Linked DNA regions of Lonchura striata. The protein of the gene in region 1 interacts with the protein of each later gene in a pairwise test. Links are inferred from orthologs where the notes say so. Each region holds a gene or a part of one and is shown on either strand. Other genes may lie near its edges.

Evidence for each region. The genes of interacting proteins can lie anywhere in the genome.
Region 2: the proteins of BANP (region 1) and ZMIZ2 interact in binary tests that used the Homo sapiens proteins (3 or more experiments, as listed by UniProt). The two-hybrid records come from large-scale screens. The link is inferred for Lonchura striata from reciprocal best matches to the Homo sapiens genes BANP and ZMIZ2.

The regions. Positions count from the first base shown.
Region 1 is NC_134615.1:21,987,226-21,997,334, reverse strand, and holds the start of BANP (protein BANP), read right to left. Parts: upstream 5,000-10,109; 5' UTR 4,898-4,999; intron 1-4,897. UniProt on the Homo sapiens protein: Controls V(D)J recombination during T-cell development by repressing T-cell receptor (TCR) beta enhancer function. Binds to scaffold/matrix attachment region beta (S/MARbeta), an ATC-rich DNA sequence located upstream of the TCR beta enhancer.
Region 2 is NC_134634.1:5,447,895-5,457,819, reverse strand, and holds the start of ZMIZ2 (zinc finger MIZ domain-containing protein 2), read right to left. Parts: upstream 4,735-9,925; 5' UTR 4,644-4,734; intron 4,103-4,643; exon of another isoform or gene 3,966-4,102; 5' UTR 3,894-3,965; coding exon 3,844-3,893; intron 3,595-3,843; coding exon 3,480-3,594; intron 3,392-3,479; coding exon 3,189-3,391; intron 3,104-3,188; coding exon 2,911-3,103; intron 2,831-2,910; coding exon 2,576-2,830; intron 2,500-2,575; coding exon 2,326-2,499; intron 2,235-2,325; coding exon 2,169-2,234; intron 2,093-2,168; coding exon 1,921-2,092; intron 1,289-1,920; coding exon 1,144-1,288; intron 721-1,143; coding exon 510-720; intron 435-509; coding exon 329-434; intron 186-328; coding exon 28-185; intron 1-27. Other genes in the region: OGDH (2-oxoglutarate dehydrogenase complex component E1), read right to left, coding at 6,028-6,148, 6,231-6,385, 6,489-6,652, 7,065-7,137, 7,704-7,826, 8,306-8,377, 8,505-8,683, 8,771-8,898 and 3 more. UniProt on the Homo sapiens protein: Increases ligand-dependent transcriptional activity of AR and other nuclear hormone receptors.

The sequences.
Region 1 (10,109 bases):
CCAGAGCCTGGCTTTTCCTCCATGATAAAATCACTTTGGGTGACAGCTGGAACAGAGCCTTCCTGCACCAATTCCCAAAAAAGCCACACCAGTGCAAATGTAACACAATAAAACACAATTTAAGAGCACCATAAATCCAAGAGCCTCCTTTGAGCCCCAGCTCTCTGCAGCCTTTCACAATGTGAATTAAAACTCATTTTAGGAGGAAGAGATTGGATTTACACTTCCTTCTTGCTACCCAAAACAACAAAAGAGAATAATTTTTTCTTAGCATCTGTTTGGCTGTCAGCCTTATCCTCAATCCACCTTAAAAGAAAAGGAAAAACACAGTGTTTCAATTAAACTTCATAGTAAAACCACACAAACATTTCAGTTTTAACAGCTTAAAAATGAGTGTAATAGTAGACAAGCAACCTTGATTCAGCTAAAGATCAGGCAACATGTCTATTCTCCCAAAAAAATGATAGAAATATTCCCTATCTGGGAAAACCAGAACACCAGCCACAACATTCTGGAGATGGATATATCAAATAAATATCACTCACAGTGGTATTATGGTGATAAACTCCAGTGCAAGTGGTAAAATTCAGCTAGCAATCAAAAAAAGGAAATGTTTGCTCCAGGAATAAAGGAGCTGGAAACTTTCTGGAGTAGAAAACCTACCAGGCAGGCAGAAATTCTCAAGTATTACCACAAAAGCTCCTATTATTATTGTTGGTTTATTGTTTTCCCTTCAGAAATATTTGCTTTTTAGGGTTTGTTTTTTTTTGGTTTTTTTTTTCATTCCACCTGGTACAAGGCACGGTTTTGCTTGGACGTCTTTTCCCAAATCTCCTAACCCTGGCACCAATCCTAACACAACACCCAACAAATAATCCAGGAATGCCTTCCGTGCCTCCCAGGCACGAGGAAGGGCAGTGGGTGGTCACGGAGAGCAGGAATTGCAGCCCAAATTCCCTGTGGATCTTGTCCAAACCCCGGTGCCCTGTGCCAGCCCCCCGTGGCACAGCCTGGATGGGATTGTTCCCCAGGAGCTGGGCAGGAAATGTTCACACGTGTCCCAGCACACACACACACACACACACACACACACAGAGGCCTGAATTCAATTTACAGCCATTTAATCCCCTTGAACCCAGCCCGGGAAGGAGCTAAATGCTTGCAGATTGCAGGTCTTAAAGCAGAGGCTGCAATTGGGGATCCTGGTGGGATTATTCCCGACAGGGATCATTCACACCAGGCACAATTTGTAGAATTTGCTGAAAAGCAGCAAAAGTGAGAGCAGAGCTGCCCAGAGAGCAAATCCTGTCCTGCTGTTTTCTTGTTTTCAGCCACTAGATGGAGGATTTTTATTGGGAACAGCTCCAAAAAATCCTGCACGGACTTCCAGGGCAGGTTTAGGGTGGATATTACGAAAAGGTTTTTCCTCAGGCTCCCCAGGGAATGGGCACAGCCCGAGGGTGAGGAGCTCCAGGAGAGGTTGGACAGCGCTGCCAGGGATGCCCAGGGTGGGATTTTGGGAATGTCCTGAACTGGATGATCCCTTCCAGCTCAGGGAATTCCATTATTCCAGGAAATTCAAACATCCAGGATTAGTTTCATCCAGCTTCCACCATCCCAGGGTGCTCCCAGCCCCATCCAGCCTGGCCTTGGGCACTGCCAGGGATCCAGGGGCAGCCACAGCTGCTCTGGGCACCTCTGCCAAGGCTCCCCATCCTCACAGGGAGGAATTCCTTCCCAATATCCCACTTATCCCTGCCCTCCTTCAGCTTAGGGCCATTCCCTCTTGGCCTGCCAGCTTACCTTTAGCAACAAGAGATTAATAATAATAATTTATAGGGTTTTTTTCCTCGTTTTTTCCTAATATGTGCACAACTAGTCCTCAATACACTGGAAAAAAAGTTTCTGATCCAGCAATTCCAGAGGAGAGAGACAAGGACAGCCCCTGGTGTTGGCATAGGCTGCTGCTACTACAAAAAAAAAAGCAGAAAAGCCAACATCAAATACAACCTGCTCACTCCAAAGTCTTCTAATGGATTTTCCTGCTGCAGGCATCAAGGAAAAGAAACCATTCCAGCTGCCAAACCAGACCTTAGCACTGCTGTGTAACAGAGAGACAGCAGGATTCTCAAATTCTTGCCAAAAGTAGGAATGAAAATAAACTGAGGAGCATCATTTCAGTAGGGAAACACGAACTGAGCAATTCTTCAAAATCCAAGTTATTTTCATAGGATTGTTGAGGGTGGAAAAGAGCTCTGGGATCGTGGAATTCACCCTGTGCCCCATCCCCACCTTGTCCCCAGCCCAGAGCTCTAAATCAGGGGTTACAAACAGGAAGCAACATCAAATGATTCTGTTCAACAGACACCACCACAAATTATTTTATTTCAAGTCCCACATACCAAGGGTGTGATGAAGTTAAACCTTTTTGTATGCTTTTCAGTCTAACTGGTTGCAAAATTCACTATTTTCCAGCACTTTAAAAACCTAAACCTGCAAGGAAACAAGTAGTTCATGTGACTGTGAAGATATTTTATTCCTTTTATTTTACTTGGGAAAGAAAGTGGAGGGGGGGGGGGAAGTGATAATTAACCTTTCAACAAGTATGGATAAAGGAGAAAATAAGGTTATTTCAACTGTCAATAACTAAATATTGAGTTTCAAACTAAAGGAAATCGACCTGTGACCAAAATTTTATTGGCAAAGTTCTGCATACAAAGACATTTTGTGGTTTATTTCCAACCACTGGCTTTGCTCTGTCTCCTCCTACAAGTGGCTCAATCCCAGCATTTCCAGTTCCAGGGTTCCTCCAAGGAAAGAGATGAAAACCCTGGAATTCTGATAAAAGTAAAGGAAAACCCTGGAATTCTGACACAATAAAGAAAAACCCTGGAATTCTGATAAAAGAAAACCCTGGAATTTTGACACAATAAAGGAAAACCTGGAATTCTGATAAAATAAAAGAAAATCCTGGAATTTTGACACAATAAAGATATGTGCTGTTCCTGCACCTACAGAGTTTTATGAGATGGGGAGGAAGCTCAAGAGAAAATCCAGAGGCAAACTCCTGGAATTCCCTGGGTGTGAATCCCATGGGACACCACCACTCCTTCCCAAGCCAAGGTAAATCCACAGGCAGCAGCTCTGAATAAATGCTCATTTTTCCTCACCTGATTGCCCAAAATTCCAGAAAAAGCAGGGTAAAAGCAGCACAGGCAGGAAAAGAGCCTCTTCCAAACTTATTTCTTGGAGCAGGTGCCTCTGGAAGCTGCAGCTGTGAGCATTGCTAATTAGCAGCACACCTTTAATGGTTTTATTAAATTACTCTGGATGTTATTAATCAATTAGCCCTTTAAAAGAACCTTAATTAACACCTGCTCTGGAAGCACACAGCTTTCACATGGCTGGGTGATTCAGACAGAACACCCAGCTGTAGAAGAGATCATAAACTGAAAAAACAAAGTTATAAAATCTTTTTGTCCTCTGGAGAAGATGGAATGTTTCACAAATCTAACCTCCATCTTTTTATTCTCTCAATAAATTAATTAATCTTTCCTATTAACATCTATTACTGAAAATGAAACTACTTCCGTTTATTGCGGGGAAATTTACTCAGGGTTTCAGAATCAAAGGCTTGTTATTCTGGTGAATTTCTGTAAACAACTGTTTTAAAAATATATAATCATATATATATATATAAACTTCCTAGCAGAGAAAATTTTCGGTTTTCTCTGTGAAATTCAGACACTTTTTTGTTTGATATTTTAAAATCTTGGTTGAAATATTTGAAGTCACACAGATGTCAGATTTGCCTCTCTTGGAATCTACAGGGCACCACACCTCAGGTATCCTCACACAGAAGGCAAGAAAGTACCAAAAAACACTCCAAAATACCATTTTAAAGCTGCTTCCACCAAAGGAATCTCTCAGTTGCAAATAACCCTTGTTTACTTCAAAAAGTCTTCCCTGGAGAGCTCCAAAAATAAACTGATCCATAAACTATCCGTGCCATAGCAGGATAAAATGACTATATTTGGTGAAGTACACAACTTGCCACTGTGGATGGATTTAAAAATAAAACAAAAAAAAAAAAAAATGGGGAGGAGAGGGAGGAAAAGGAGGCAACGCTTGAATTGCAAATAAGGGCATAGGGATACGAGTGTGTTGAGAGAATCCTGGAAGAGTTTGGGTGGGAAGGGATTTTGAAGGGATTTTAAATCTCGTTCCACCCCTGCCACGGCAGGGACACCTTCCACTATCCCAGGCAGCTCCAGGGAAAGGCACACAGGGAGGAATTCCTTCTCACATCCCATCTGAAGCCCTCCGTGTCACAGCTGGCTGCTGTGAAGGGGACAGAAGCCAGCAGCGCTGCTGTGGATGTGCAAACCCTGCCAGGAGCACACGCTGCTGCTCCCAGGAGCGCTCCCAGCCCAGCCCAGCCCGGGGGGACAGGGGACACAGCCCCGCGGAGGAGCACAGCCAAACCTTCGGGTGGAAGGGATTTAAAGCTCATCCCGCTCCACCCCTGCCACGGCAGGGACACCTTCCACCATACCCCAGCTGCTCCAAGCCCTGTCCAACCTGGCCTTGGGCACTGCCAGGGGGCAGCTACACCTTCTCCGGGCACGCCGTGCCATGGCCTCAGCACCCTCACTGAGGGCAGGATTTCTCCCCGCTATGGAACCACGGCGGGGATGAACAGAGGGATGGGGGGTGGGTGAGGCGGAGTGGGGTCCCCCCGCCTCGGCCGCTCCCTCCCCGCCGGCTCAGGGCCCGGGGGGGGTGGGGGTGTGGGGATCGCGGTGTGTGTGTGCGCGGTGCCCCCCGTGCGGGGCCGTGCGGGGCCGGGGGGGGCGGCGGCGCGGCGGAGCTGCCGCCCGCGGGGGCGCCGCGTTACCGTGTGAGGCGGGCGCCGAGTTCTCGTGGTGTTTTGTGCGGCGGCTGCGATAATGGCGTCCTTCCTCGCGAGAGATCCGGCCGGCGGCCCCGCGCCGCGCACGCGCCGCGCGCCCGCGCGCTGCCCCCGCCCTTGCCCCGCCGCCGAGGCGCCGCAGCGGGGGGGGGGGGAACGGACTACGAGTCCCAGCGGGCAGCGCGCGCGCCCCCGCAGGAGCACGCCGGGACCTGTAGTACGCGCGGGGGTGGCGCGGGGCGTGCCGGGAAGTGTAGTCAGGGAATCATGGAATCGCAGGGTTTATCCCGGGAGCGTTGAGGGGGGAAAAGAGCTCCGGGATCGTGGAATTCACTCTGTGCCCCATCCCCGAGCTCTGAGTGCCGCCTCCAGGAATTCCTGGGACACCTCCAGGGATGGGCACTCCAACCCTCCCTGGGCACTTCCAATCCCTGAGCCCCTTTCCATGGGGAAATTCCTGCTGCTGCCCACCCTGAGCCGGCCCTGAGGCCGTTCCCTCTGCTCCTGTCCCTGTTCCTGGAGCAGAGCCCGACCCCCCGGCTGTCCCCTCCTGGCAGGAGCTGAGCAGGGCCAGGAGGGTCCCTGAGCCTCCTTTGCTCCGGGCTGAGCCCCCCAGCTCCCTCAGGATCCTCCAGTGCCTTCCCAGCTCCCTCAGGATCCTCCATCCCCTTCCCAAATCCCTCAAGATCCTCCAGCCCCTTCCCAGCTCCCTCAGGATTCTCCACATCCCTCAGGAATTCTCCATCCCCTTTCCATCTCCCTCAGGAACTTTCCAGCCTCTTTCCCACTCCCTCAGGATCCTCCAGGCCCTTCCCAAATCCCTCAGGATCCTCCAGCCCCTTCCCAGCTCCCTCAGGAATTCTCCAGCCCTTTTCCATCTCCCTCAGGATTTTCCAGCCCCTTCCCAGCTCCCTCAGGAATTCTCCAGCCCCTTCCCAGCTCCCTCAGGAATTCTCCAGCCCCTTCCCAGCTCCCCCAGGAATTCTCCAGCCTTTTTCCATTTCCTTCCCATCTCCCTTAGGAATTCTCCGTTCCCTTCCCTGGACACGCTCCAGCCCCTCAACGTCCACAGCGCTCAGCCAGCAGAGCCGGCAGATTGAACAGGAATCTGCACCTCCAAAATCATTCACACCTTCCCCATCATCTGCTGCTTCCATCAGACTCCTCGTGGATGTCACTGTCGTGCTAAGGACAGAAACGTCACCGTGCCCGGAGCAGGCTGAGCAGCAGGCAGCAAGTGGGAATTTGCTAAATTGGCTCGTCAGCCTCGCTCTTCTGTCACTGCTGTGCGTGCTGCGAGAACAGGAGGGCTGGGTGAAGGTGGGAATGCACCGGGAACCTTCTGGGCACGATAAAAATATGCAAAGAGCCTCCAAAAAAGAAGCACGGAGGAAGCATATGCAAAGAGGACAAAGATTAGGCAAATTTCTGTCTTTTTATAGCACAGTGTTGCCCAATAAAGACCAACCACGCTTCACTTTTCAGCTTCACCGTAGCTAGCAGCGACTTGCAGACTTCTGCATTAAAGCATTCCCTAAATAAGATTAATAAAGATTCCTAAATGAGATGCTTAATGGGGTTCTCCAGTGCCATGTCACACAGCTGGATCCACTCTGGTTCAGCTGTAAGAGGTTCTCCAGACACCTGCAGGCCTGGTGTGTTGGGAAATTGTTCCCTCATGCAGCTGTTGATTTATTTACCATGTTCTCCCCCTTCACAAGCAGATTAGGCAGTTCAAAGGTTAAACTACTTAGAATCTGACTTTTCACACCAGATTATTTCACGCTTTGCTACACCAATTTGCCCTGCAACAGTTTTGCCATAGGGTTTCTGCTGGACTCAAGCAATTGCAGGTCCCAGCTGGAAAAACAGGGATACAAATATTTACCAGCTGCTGTGGGAGCTACTGGTAAAAGCTTTTGCCACCCTAAACCAGCCCATGGTAAAAGCTGCCCTGCTTTCTCATATTTTCATCATATTACCATCCCAAAGATTATAAACTCCTGTTTGCTGGAGGTGTGAGGTGCTTCTGCCCTGGAGAGCCATGAATCCTTTCCCAACACAAACAGAAAAGCTGGCATGGTCATAAACCAGTTATGGTATTTACCCAAAGTTAATTTGGCTCAAATTAACTGCAGGAAATACTGGCGGGATCCGACTGATGTCTGCGACTCTGATCAGAGATAACAGCAGAATAAACAAATAAAACAATTTATCCCCAAGGGAGGCTGCAGCACCTCCTCCTGCCCATCCACTCTGATCCAGCAGCTGAGAATCCACAGTTACCTCACCCCTTGGAAGAGTTTTTCCCTCTTTACCAGAGAAATTAATTTGGATTTTTTTTTTTCCAAACCAGAAGGCATTTATTTTTTAAATTATGGATGACACCACTAAATCACAGACAGACTCTTTTATCATGGTTTACCTCGTGTTTCCTTGAGACTGCACAGCCAGAAGTGATAAACACTTTGTGCAGCACAAAGTCTGACTGCAAACACGAGGAAAAGGATCTTTCTGTTAAATCTGGAGGCCCAGATTTGGCTTTTCAGTTTTTGATTCCCAGTACCAGTGAGTGACTGACCAAAGGGTAATTGCTTCCTTCACAATCTCCTGAGCTTCAGCTGCTGCCAAAACTGAGCTCCTGTGACTATTTCTGCAATAATTGAAAGAAATTCACTGTAATCCCCATTTAGTGAATGAGGGTTTCACTTTACCCTGGGATAGGTCTGCCTATGAGCAAATGCCAAGAAGAACTTGATACACTGGAAGGTTTATTCTGATTTAAACCATGATAATTTGCTCAAATGCCTACATCAAATCCATTCTAATTTTCTTAATTTCCTGTCCTCATATAAAAGCAACTGAAAACTTCAGGCTGCTAATATATAATTTAATTTTTTAATTTTACAGGAGAAAATACCCCCTGTTGCCCTGTTAGTCTGTTGTCCCAAATAAAACAAGGGATTTCTTTGTTGTTTTATTTCCTCACATTTTCGTGCTCTTTTTTTTCTGAACTCTTGCATTTTATGTCTGTGCTTTGCCATGTTAGGAGGAGTAATTTGCTTCCAGGAAGTATCCAGTTTATTTCACCCTGCTCTCAGCATTCATTTACTATTGTTTTCTAAGGAAGTTGCTGCTTTCACATGTTTTGTGTGGATCAGGAGAGACTGGGAACTCATTCATTGGTTTCCTTGTTTTTTTTTCATTAAGGAAAAAAACCCTTCCCATAGCATCAAAGGTAAAAAATTAACACACTGTGCACACAGTTTTGCAGCTGCAGCAGAAAAATAAAGGTTGCCAAACAAAGCTTTTGTTTAAACAAGTGACAGACATCCATAATTATCCTCAGTGCTGAGCATGAGGACACAGGAAAAAGGGATGGGGAAGATGTGAGCAGGGCACAGAAGGCACTCCAGAGTATTTGCTGGAAGAATCATTTTCTTTCCAAAGGATAAAATCCTCAATTACATCCAAGTAAAAAGAGTACTTGAAGGTCCCCTGTTTATTCTTTTCTTTCTGCTTAGGTTTGTTAATTTTCTCTATAATATCTCTTGTAACTGGAAAGGGAAACAAACCCAGCCTTATGAACACAGCCTGTCCTATGTTGTGACAGTGATGCTTAAGAAAAATTTATATAAAACACCTCTTTAACCAAGAGAATATTTATATTATTTGTAAATGTGCTGTAGCAGCATATGAGGAGAAGCTCATCATTTAATTTTCAGATGCCACAGCCATTTTCAATCCCCTCAGATTTTTCTATGGTTTATGACACAAAACAAGGCAGCACCAAGTGGGTTTTGCTCCTGGACCTACTTCAGCTACCTCTGTATCAGTACTCTGATCTCATTCTGGTTTCTGCTGAGTAAACTCCATTTTGTTCAATAAAAATACTCCTAATTTTCACGAACAGGGATGGAAGAAAAGGGCCTGCATTCCCTCAGCAGAGAGAGAAGCTGTGACACGTTTTGCCACCCGTCTGGTCAAAGTCCATGGTCCTGTAGGGTCCCTTCTGCCAGTCTGAGGAACAAGGTGAGAAGGGTCAGGCATGATCTTGATGTTCTCTTATTTATTTTTACAGACTCCTCCACCTCCCTGGACACAACCTGGGAAAAAAAATCAAATGATGGGAGGCTCCTTCCCTTCTGAGAAATGTCCCCCTGGCACAAACCCTGTGTTTACACTTGCCTGGCTGGGATCTTCCAGGATCTCTCACAGCTCCCCACACAGCTGAGGTTTGCCCAGCTCTGCTCATGTTTGCCCCAGACCACGTTTACTTGGTCAGGTATTAATAGCTGAGTACTTCTGGGGGGATTGTCAAAGCCTGAAGGGTATTCATTCCACCTACAGATTTTAGAGGATTTTATCCTTCTATGATTCTAAGCGGAATTTGACCGTCTCCTCATTCTGGACGTGCATCCATTTCAACACATCCAAAATTATTTTTAGCTCTACCATTGCAGGTGTGAGAGGTAAAATAAACTGAGTGGAGATGTCCAGTTGTGGCCAGGGTGGCAGAATGTCCCTGAGCAGGTTTCCACACAGCTCCACGTGGCAGAGGCAGGAGGGCAGGGCTGCTCTTCGGGGCAACCCAGGTCAGCCAGAACCTCATCCAGAGGCAAATTCCAACCCTTGGGATGGTGAAATCCTGCATTTCCCTACAAGCTGGGCACTGCAAAGCTCTGGAGACAGAGTTTTTCTCCCACTCCAGGTGTTCCTCAGAAAATCCTGGAGTGCTCCCTGGCAGGGATGAAGGTCCACGGGCTGTATCAGACAGAGCTTCCCAGCACATCTCAGGAATTCCCCCTGCTGAGCACTCATGGGAATGGATCTGGAATGTTCTGTCCTGTTTGGAGAGACAATGAACAAACAGAGGTGCTTCCCAGGCTGCTGAGCTCAGCTGGATGAATTGTCCCAGCAAAACGTGGACATCAAAAAAAAAAGCTTTCCTCAAATAAAAATCGGCCATGGGAAGTGTGAGCCAATCCCCAGGGAAACGAGGGGCAAAGCCACCCAGGGATGGCCTGGCTCCTGTCACAATAAGTGACATTTTTAGTCACTCCACAGAGGTTTCCACTCCTCAGCAGCAAAACTCCCAAGCAGCTTCCCACAACCTGAGTGTCCTGCCAATTAGACAATAATTAGGTGAGGAAAATGTTCATTATTAAATCACTTCCATGATATCGAGTTACAGTAA
Region 2 (9,925 bases), on another chromosome or scaffold:
CAGCACCCTGTCATCACCACGCCCTACCTGTATGTGCCGGCAGTCATGGCCCCTGGCTGGAAGCTGGATCCTCCGGAAGGTGATAGGGCACTTGAGGGACACCTTGATGGCTGTCTGCTCCACACCGTCCTCACCATTGGGCCCTGGTGTCCCCGGGATAGTCCCACTGCTGAAGTTGCGCTTGACTGGGAAGGTGGGGGCACCAAGGGTCAGAACCAGGACCCTGGCATGGGGGTGGAACCTGGGCAATACTGCACCATCACCCCCATGCTGCTGTGGCCTCCCTGCCACAGTGCATCCTCCTAACCCCTCAGACCCAGGTGCTCACTTTTGGTGATGCAGTGCTCAGCGGGGAGCAGGCGCTTCTTGATGAGCCCCTGCAGCACTGAGCGCACCGAGGGCCGATGCACCAGCTGCAGGACGAACAGGTGGGACTGTGGAGAGATGGGAGGCTGAGCTGTGGCCCCAGCCACCACCCTCCCTCTCCTGGTACCCTCCTGGTGACTCACACAGCAGCAGGCGGTGACAGTGATCTGAATAGTATTTCTGCCGGGCTGGCAGACGTGCTTCAGGTAGAGCGGCTTGTGGGAGGTCTTGTTGTCACCACGCTCAATGGTGAGTGGCGTGGCGTTGACGCTCACCTGCACAGAGGCCGGCCAGTTGGTGTTCATCTGCCGGTCCTCGTGGTGGTAGCACTTGAACTGCAGCTCCAGGTCAGGCCTGGGGACAGGCAGGGTGTGGGCAGGGGGTGTGTCCGCACGCGAGCCATGGCACCACCATGTCAGCACACCATGCTGCTCCAAGCCATGCAGAACCATGCAGTGCTAAGCCATTCTATGTTACACTGAGTCATATGGCACTGTGACAAACTCCAACAGTACCACAGCACAGCACTGTGCCAGGCCCACCATGTCCCACCATGCTGAGCACTAAGACAGCAGGCTGAACCACGGCAAGTACAGCTGTGCCACGCTTCGCACCATGACGCAGGACAGTGTCATGCCAAGTCATACCAGGCCACACACCCCCGTGCCACATGGCACCATGTAGTGCCTAGCTGTGCTGCCCAGCACAGCCCCACTCCACACAGTGCCATACAGCACCCCCCGAGCAGCACTGCATGACACTACAAAGCTTCCCCACCTCATCATGAGGGTTTTGTAGACAGAGTCACGGAGCTGGAAGACGTGGTTGCTGACAGCCAGGTTGTGCTGCAGGCGGAAGGGCTCCAACACCACGCCATCCCGAACCGGGAAGGTCAGTCGCAACTCCTCGCCGGGGGCCGGCCCTGTGGTACACCACCATCAGGGAAACCCACACCTTCCCCTCCCCCGGGCACCAGCCACACCCTGGCCGTGCCCCAGCCACACCCTGGCCATGCCCCAGCCGTGCTCCTCCCACTGCATGAGGATCCACCTTGCAGGAAGCCCAACCTCCACCACACTACCCTGCCCACCCCGGAAACTGCACCCCATGCATTGCAGGAAGCTCCTCCTACCCGAAGTGACCCCACCCCTGGGGGCCACCCCACTCCCACCGCTGTAGAGGAAACCCACCCCACCGCAGATTCCTGCCGCTAGCCCCAGGAAACTGCACCCTATCCAAGCCCCTCCCGATCCAGGTGGTCCCACTCTTAAAGCTGAAGCCCCCCACCAAACCAGCACTCCTGATAAGGCCCTGCCCCCTGAGCCACACCCTTTTAACAAGCCCCTCCCACTAGTCACAGGCAGCCCACCCCCTGCCTCAGTCAGCCCCCAAACCCTGGCAGTGGTCATGCCCTCTTCTCTGGCGCCTCTCCCACCCTCCACGTAAAGGGGCAAAGGCCACGGAGCTGTCAGAAGCGAGGTCTACACCGGACTGCTCGGGGCATGGGGGTCATCTCTGTGAAACACCCCCCTCACTCACACCAGGGACACCCACCTGAAGGGGACGGGTGCAGGGGGGCAACGCTGGGCTTCATGTCTGCCAGGAAGGGCGACTTGACATCCTGACCAGGGGACGCATAGGCGGGGATACCACTGCCTGGTGTCATGGGCGGCGTGGGGTTCCCGGCCAGCGGCGAGCTGGGGTACCCCGGCAGTGACCTGCCCGGCTGTAGAGGCAGCATATCTGCCCTCAGCGTCCAGCCAGGCCAGCAGAGCCCCCACCCCACCCGCTGCCAGACTCACCCCACTGACGGCTGCTTGGCTGTAGGTGCTGAAGCTGGCGCTCTGCCCATTGAACTGGTCAGCTGGCTATGGGAGGAGGAGGGTCTCCAGGGGCTGGCACCGGGGGATGGTGGACACCCAGACCTCCACCCCTTGCCCACCGTTCCCCCTGTGGTACCTTGTAATAGGGTCCAGCACCGCCTGAAGTGGAGAGGTACTGGCCCATGCTCTGCTGCAGCCTGTGGCCAGGGTATGAGGGGGACGGAGCGGAGGACTGGGGGGCGCTGGGGGCATACTGGGCACCAGCTGCAGCGTACTGCCCGCCCTGGAGGTACTGCTGTGTTGGGTACCCCTGTAGGGCCAGGGAGTCAGCACCAGTGGGAAAGGGGGTCACCGTGTGCCACAGCCTTCACCAACGCAGCGCTCACCTCACTAGAGTATGCCCGCTTGAGGCCCTGGCGGGGCAGCTGCTGGCTCTGGGGAGGTCCAGGGTAGGTGTGCTGAGGCACTCGCTGTCCACCATAAAGGGGGCCAGTCCCGGGTGCCCGCACTGGGCTCATGCTCACAGGGGAGACACCAGAGGGGGCCACAACACCTGCCATGCCAGCTGGGCTCATGCTGTTGGGGCCACGGGGTCCAGCATGGGGCAGGAACTGGCTGCTGAAAGACTGCCCTGTGCCCATCTGCAGCAACGAAGAGAGAAGAGTCATGGCAGGGCAGGGGGGCTGTCAGCTCCCCAGTTCTGCCACAGCCAGGCTCTTACCGCACTATACTGGCTCAGCTCCTGGCTCTGTTTCTCCTGCAGTGCAGCCACCGTCGCCGTGGCTGTGGCCGTGGCCGTGGCAGCAGCAGCAGCCACAGCAGCAGCTGCTGCTGCCTGGGTGAAATCAGCAGTAGCCCGGCTGGCATGCGAGGGGAGCCCTATCCCTCCAGGGCCACTCGGGCCACCATTGTAGCTGGAGAACAGAAAAGCAGAAAGGGGAATGCAGTGGCCCTGCATCAGGGCACACACCAGGCCACAAAGCACAGGACTGTCCTTACCTGGCAGCGAAGCCCGGCCCACTGGGGTAGGCAGTGCGCCCATAGACACTTGGTTGCACATACCCCTTTGCTGGTGCCCCCTCAGCAAAGGGCTGCTGTGGCAAGAACGGTGGTGAGCTCATGCCTGAGCTGGTGCCTGCCATGCCAGGCAGCAGTGGGGTGCTGGAGCTGCTTCCCCCAGGGCCCATGGGGCTGCCAAAAACCTGGAGGGTGCAGTGGGAGGCAGCGGGTCAGGCAGGGGCAGTGGCATGCAGGTGCAGTGGATGCCTGGGGAGGGGGTGCTGCTGGTACCTGGCTCTGTGAGGGGTTGCTGACACCCCAGACAGTGGTTACCACGGAGAGGGATCCCGGTGGCTGATTGGTGCTTGGTTGCCAAGGAACAGCCTCGTATGCAAATGAACCATCACTAGAAAGAAAAACAAATTAATGAAGATGAAGGACAGAAGGATGGAAGGACAGAGGGATGGAGGGATTGAGAAAATGAAAAGATGAAAAATGCAAGGGATGGAGGAACAGACAAGGGGATGGATGCATGGATGGAAGGATGGAGAAATGGATGGAGAAATAGATGGATGGATGGATGGATGAATGGATGGATGGATGGGTGGATGGATGGGTGGATGGGCGGATGGAGGGACGCTGCCCCGGCGCCCACCCGTGGGGCGCAGGCGGCAGCGAGGGTTTCATGGGGTTCATGGAGCTCATCAGCGGGTGTGGGCTGGGTCTTCCGAGGCCGCGGCGGGCACTGCGGGACGGCGGCACCGTCTGTCACTGGGGCTGCGGGAAGCAGTGGAGTGGCGGGTGAGGGGCGGCCGCCCCCGGAGAGGCTTGAGCGGGGGGACAGCCCGTAGGCTTCGCGACCCCCCAGCCTCCGCGGCCGGGACTCGGCGTCCGGCCTGCGGCTGGCACGGGGCGCCGGCCGGCACGCGCCGCCCCTGCTCCGGGCCGCCCCCCCGCTCCGGCCACCGCGGCGTCAGACCTCCCCGGGGCGGCGGGCACCGGGGGCTGCCCCCGCGCCTGCGGGCGGGGGGAACCACGGGGACTTCCCGGGGAAGGGACGGGGCCCCCGGCTCGGCATTGCGCCCCAGCGCCTGGGGTATTTCCAGCCGGGCCCGGCAGCGGGGGGCCGCGGGGTCACCGGCGCTTTCGGTTCCTCCCGGCGCCGCGGGAGGGCGGCGGACACGGGGGCGTCGGGAGGAAAGACACGGACAGGGAACACCCCGCGGCGGGCCTGCCCCGGCTCCCGGGAACCGCCACCATAGCACCGCCGGTGGTGACAGCCCCCCTCCGCTCCTTCCCCGGCGGCACCGCGGGGACAGGCCCCGGGACCGGGCCCCCCCCCATTGCCATGGCAACCACCCCCACCACCCCCGGCACGGCGGGGGGGCCCGCCGGGGCACCGCCAGCCCCGCCCGTCTCCCGCCCCGTCCGCCCGCCCGGCGCTCCCGCTCTCACCGCGGCGGCGGCCCAAGATGGCCCTGGCGGCGCGAGGCGCGCGCGGCTGCGCGGAGGCTGCGCGGGATCTTCAGCCGCGCGCGGCCGCGGCTCCGCGGGGGGCGGGGCCCAGGGGCGGGGCCGGGCCGCCGCCGCGCACAATGGGGCCGCGCGCTCATCAGCATGCAGGCCCCGCCCCCGCCCGGCCAGGCGCGGATAGCCGAGCGCCGAGGAAGGGCGCGGGCTGCGGGAGGGGGGAGCGCGGGAGCGAGCGCCGTGTGCGGGGCGCCGTGGGCAGCGCGCGTGGGGCCACGCCACGGGCTGTCCCCGCACCACGGGCTCTGCCCGCATCACGGGCTGTCCCCGCATCACGGGCTGTCCCCGCGCCACGGGCTGTCCCCGCGCCACGGGCTCTGCCCGCATCACGGGCTGGCTGTCCCCGCGCCACGGACGCTGCCACCGCAGCAGCGGCACCGCGACACGCGTGGGCATGTGGCACCTCGCACACGTGTACGCGTGCGGACGGTTTGCTCGCGGGGACGCGGAGCCCCACGCACCACGTGGACGTTGCGCGGTGACATCGCGTGCAACCCTGTATGTGACAGCACAGCCACGAGTGTGTGACGGGGCGTGGCACGCGAACCCCCCGACCTCCCTCCTGCAGCTGAAAGACCTGAGTCACACGGAAAAGTGGCGGTGGGTTCCGAGATCCCAGCTGAGATTGCCCCCGTCGCCCCCACCCCCAAAGAACGTCCTGTGGGAGGACGCGGTGGGCTCTGGAGATGCCAACAATGATCCCCGTTTGAGAGATCACCTCCCTCGACCCCCACTCAGGATCTCCAATGGGAGGACACACCACCCAGCACCCGCCCTGTCTGTCCCTGTGGGGGCTCACAGCCGGGGGATGGTGCAGACGCAGAGGGAAAAACATGCTCCCCAAGGACAGGTACAACTGAGACAAGGGCACAGCACTCTTACACCTGGTTGGGCCCTCAGGACGTGCAGATGCACTATCTCCTTCCTCCAAGAGGCAGTGGCTGCACAGAGGCAAGTCCAAGACTGAGACGAACTGGGCAGAACCTGATTCATTGCACTGGACACCCCCACAGAAGAGCTGTGGGGACCAGCCCCTCTTGGGGGGTATGGGACACCCCCAGAGAAGCGCCCCAGGGACCAGACATGCCAGGGGTCTGGGGGGCCATGGGTCTTACCCACCATGGCAGCACGCAGCCCCCAGACCCTCATGCTCCCAGGGCAGCTGTACTGGAGCCACCCTGGCATGAGGCAGACAAGGACTCCAGGCAACAGTGTGGGGTTGACAAGATCTGTAGTTGAGGGGGGGAGGCGAGCAAAGGACAGAGAGATGAACAGACAGATGGAGGAGCATGCTGCGCCGTGACGGCGCTCAAGCCAGGTCCTTGAAGGCATCGAGGTTGAAGGCTGTATCGAGTAGCCGCTGCAGCTCTGTCAGGTGGGTTTTCTTATTGCCAGTGGCAGGGGCAGCTGCTGGCTCCCGCCCTGCATACCTACCAGGGAGAAGGTGGGCCATGAGAAGGGTCTGTACCGACCAGTTCCCTCCCAGCCTCTCACCACCCCCTGTGTCCTTACCAGACAGGCTTTGCACGGTTGATGGTGGTGCGAAGCCGGGGTTTGACATAGTCATAGTAACCCTGGTTCTTGTGCTCCTCCTGGCACCACACCAGCTCGGCAGCTGGGTATTTCTGGGCTTCTCGCTGGAGGAGGTCAAAGGGGAACGGGGAGAGCTGCAGGGGACACAGAGTGGTGTCACAGGAGACATGGGGCAGTGTCTCGGGGGCTACAGAACCCCCAGCCCACAGATCATGGTGGCAGAAGGACCCTACTCACCTGCTCCACCCTGGTGATGGCCACATCGGCCTCCATCTGCCGGGCCTTGCGCTCACGGGTCAGGTCATAGTACACCTTGCCAGTGCAGAACAGCACCCGCTTCACCTGCTCGGGGTTCTGGGCTGCAGGGCCACTGTCAGGGATGACACGGAGGAAGTGGGTGCCTGCCAAAGAAGAGAACGGCACCCTGAGCCACAGCAGTTCACAGCACTGTGCCAGCAGCCACTGCACCCACATGCCATGCCAGCCCCTTCCAGGACCCTGAGAGGCAGAGTCAGTTGACCCAGGTACAGCAGGCACAACTCCCACCACAAACCATCACATGCCACTTGGGGCTACCAAATCCCAGCTGCAAGTGGCTGTTGATGGAGGAAGCAACATGGAGCCAAGTCTCCCAAGGGTGCCAGGCTCAGCCCTAATGAGGCTCTGGTGTGCCAAGGAGGCCCTGGCCTCACTCGGCCAGCCTCCACCATGGGGAGGCTGCTGTCAGGCAGACTTTACCCAAGGCGACAGACTCCTGCCCTTCACCCTGCGGAGCAGCGTGGGAGAACACAGGCAGCTCTGTGCTACTTGTACCTGGCAGCATGTCATCAAAGCTGGAGCGGGCTTCGGGGTGGCGCAGCAGTGACTTTGGAGTGAAGATTATCAGCTGGAGTGGGGGAGAAGAGGCAGAGCAATGTGGTCAGACCTGCCAGAAACACCTCCCCTACAAGCCAGTGCTGGAGCAGCCACCTGCCTGCCCTCCCCTGCCCATCCTGCCTGAGCAAGGGAGCAGCTGCCAGAGATTTGCTTCTCAACTCAGCTGCAGTGTTCTGCTAGATTGGGCACCGATTCCCAACAGCACCAACCATCCCAGCTGGGATGTCCCCTGGGGAAGAGGCGGAGGGGCTTCCAGCCTGTCCCATGGCTAGAGCTGACTGGAACTGGCTGAAGTAGGTCATGTAGCAGTGTCTGTTGGCTTCAATAGCCCTGACCTCCCCATGGAGTTTGGGAAGGGGTCACAGCCCTTGCAACCCACATGAGACAGCAGCCGTACATCAAGCGCCAAGCCAGTCCTGAGCACAATAAGCTCCTTGGCCAGGCAGCAGCCAACTGCCCATGTCTGAGGTGCAGGAAGAAGCTGCACCCAGCCCAATCCCAGTCCAGGGAAATATCCAACAGGAAGACAGCACCCTGCCTGGGCACCAAGCTGGGCATGGAGCTGCTGGCACTGACCGGTTTGCGGAAAGGCAGGAGGATCTGGCGCCGGAGGACGTGGAAGAAGTTGGCTGGAGTGGAGCAGTTCACGACAATCCAGTTGCACTCATAGAGCTGACGCACATCAAAGTCATCCAGCTTCTGTCTTGGCCAGAACGGGTGAGGGGATTTCAGGAAACACAAGGTACCTCTTGGCCTTGTGGCTCCAGTAGGAGGTAGAGGAGTGGTCCCCAGCCCTCCCTCCCCTCCCTCCTTCCCTCCCCTCCCTCCCCTTCTCTCACTCTTCAGAGCACACAGAGATCCTGGAGAGGCTCCAGGGCTGTGCTCTCCACCTTGGTCTGGCCATAAGGGTGGCCAGCAACCCCCTCTCATGCCACTTTCAGGGCCACCTCTCCCTTGGACTATGCCACAGCCCCAGGTTCCATGGAGGTGCAGCCTGGGCACCAGGTTCAGGCTCTTTCCCCACACCCTCCAGCCAGCATGAGACCAAGGCATCCCATGCCTCCTGCCATCAGCTCCCACTGTGCTAAGCCCACACGGGTGTTGCTGCCCTCCACTGAGCTCAATCCAGGGCACAGGAGGGCCAGGCTGAGCACCACACCATGGGGGCCACCACTCACAGGGAAGACATCAGGATCATCATTGCACATCTGCAGGAATCGCTCTGGGCGGGCAGAGGAGTGCTCGGGACCCTATGGGGACCAAGAAGGCAGAAGGTCATTGCAGGCCAAGGAAAGCATGAGAACCCGAAGTCAGGCACTCCCACATCATGAGTAGTGCCACTGCTGTCCAGGGTTCCACCTCCAGGGTGAGCCTTACCATGCCCTCCATGCCGTGGGGAAGCAGCAGGACAATGCCGTTCTGCCTGACCCACTTGGCCTGCCCGGGACAGATGAACTGGTCGATAATGCATTGAGCAGTGTTGTGGAAATCCCCAAACTGGGCTTCCCAAAGCACCAGGGCATTGGGACTGGCCATGGCAAACCCCAGTTCAAATCCTGAGAAACGGAAGAGCAGTGAGAGGGTTGGGCTGCCCTTCCAGAGTGGCATCACCCTGGGCAGTGAGCACATACCCACTCACTCACCCAAGACACCGTACTCTGACAGGGAGCTGTTGCAGACAGTGTACGGAGCCTGGTTGGGCCAGAGGTGGTTCATGGGGATACAGGTCCTCTTGTCCACATTCTGATCATGAAGGACATGGTGGCGATGGCTGGAAAAGGGAGAAGAGTAACTTCATCATCAGCCTTTGGATCCCTTCCAGAAGGGCTGGAATTGCCTTTAAAGCCTCCAAAAGCAGGGTTTTACCTAAATGTCCCCCTCTCAACATCCTGGCCACTCAGGCGGATGTGGATGCCCTCTTTGAGCAGGGAGCCAAATGCCATGTACTCTGCCAGGGCCCAGTCAACTGTCCGGTTCTTCACCATCTCCCCACGGGTTTTCAGAATACGGCTCAAACCTGCCGGGACAGGAACTGGTTCATAGGCAGCACAAGACAGAGCTCCAGTGACACCAGATTTGTTCCACAACCAGCCCACGGGTTTTGCTTGTTCTGAGGCCCTCAGAGCTCCAGGCAGGGTCTCAAGAATGCAGCACCCAGGGAGAGGATCCCCACCCTTGACCTGCTACCCACCCATATTGAAGCAGTCCAGTATGTCCCTTCCTTCCAGGCCACATCCCAGCCCTATCTCACATCTCTCCAGAACAAATGCCCAGTCTGGCACAGCTTTCACAAGCTCCTACCTCCATGGATAGTGAAATCCTCCACCGGCACTGAGCTGGCCACTTGACCAATGTGCGTCAGGTCCTCTTCATTGAGGCCAGTGGAAGGGCAGGTCATGCTCCGGGGCTGCCCGTCCAAAGTGAAGAAACCTGTCAGAGAAGGAGAAACACCATGCTGCAGGAGACGTGCCAGATCCATGGGAAGACCTCAGGTCACAGACACCCTCAAGCAAAGGTAGAGACACCAGGAACGGGAAGGGCACTACTAACCTCCCCTGTGGGGTGGCTTACTAGAAAATCTCTGCCATGGATCTAGAGAGGCCGGGTGCCTTGCTATGGCCTCTAAATCGCTGCTAGTGACTTACCTGGCCAAGGTGAGTCCAGCCAGTGTTTGATGTGCAAGATCTTCTCATCCTTGGATCTGGCATGGGCCTCCTCACAAATCTTATCGTACTTGGCAATTTCCTCCTGAAAGGCAGAACCAAGAAAAACATTAATGGGGGATCTCTAAACGAGGG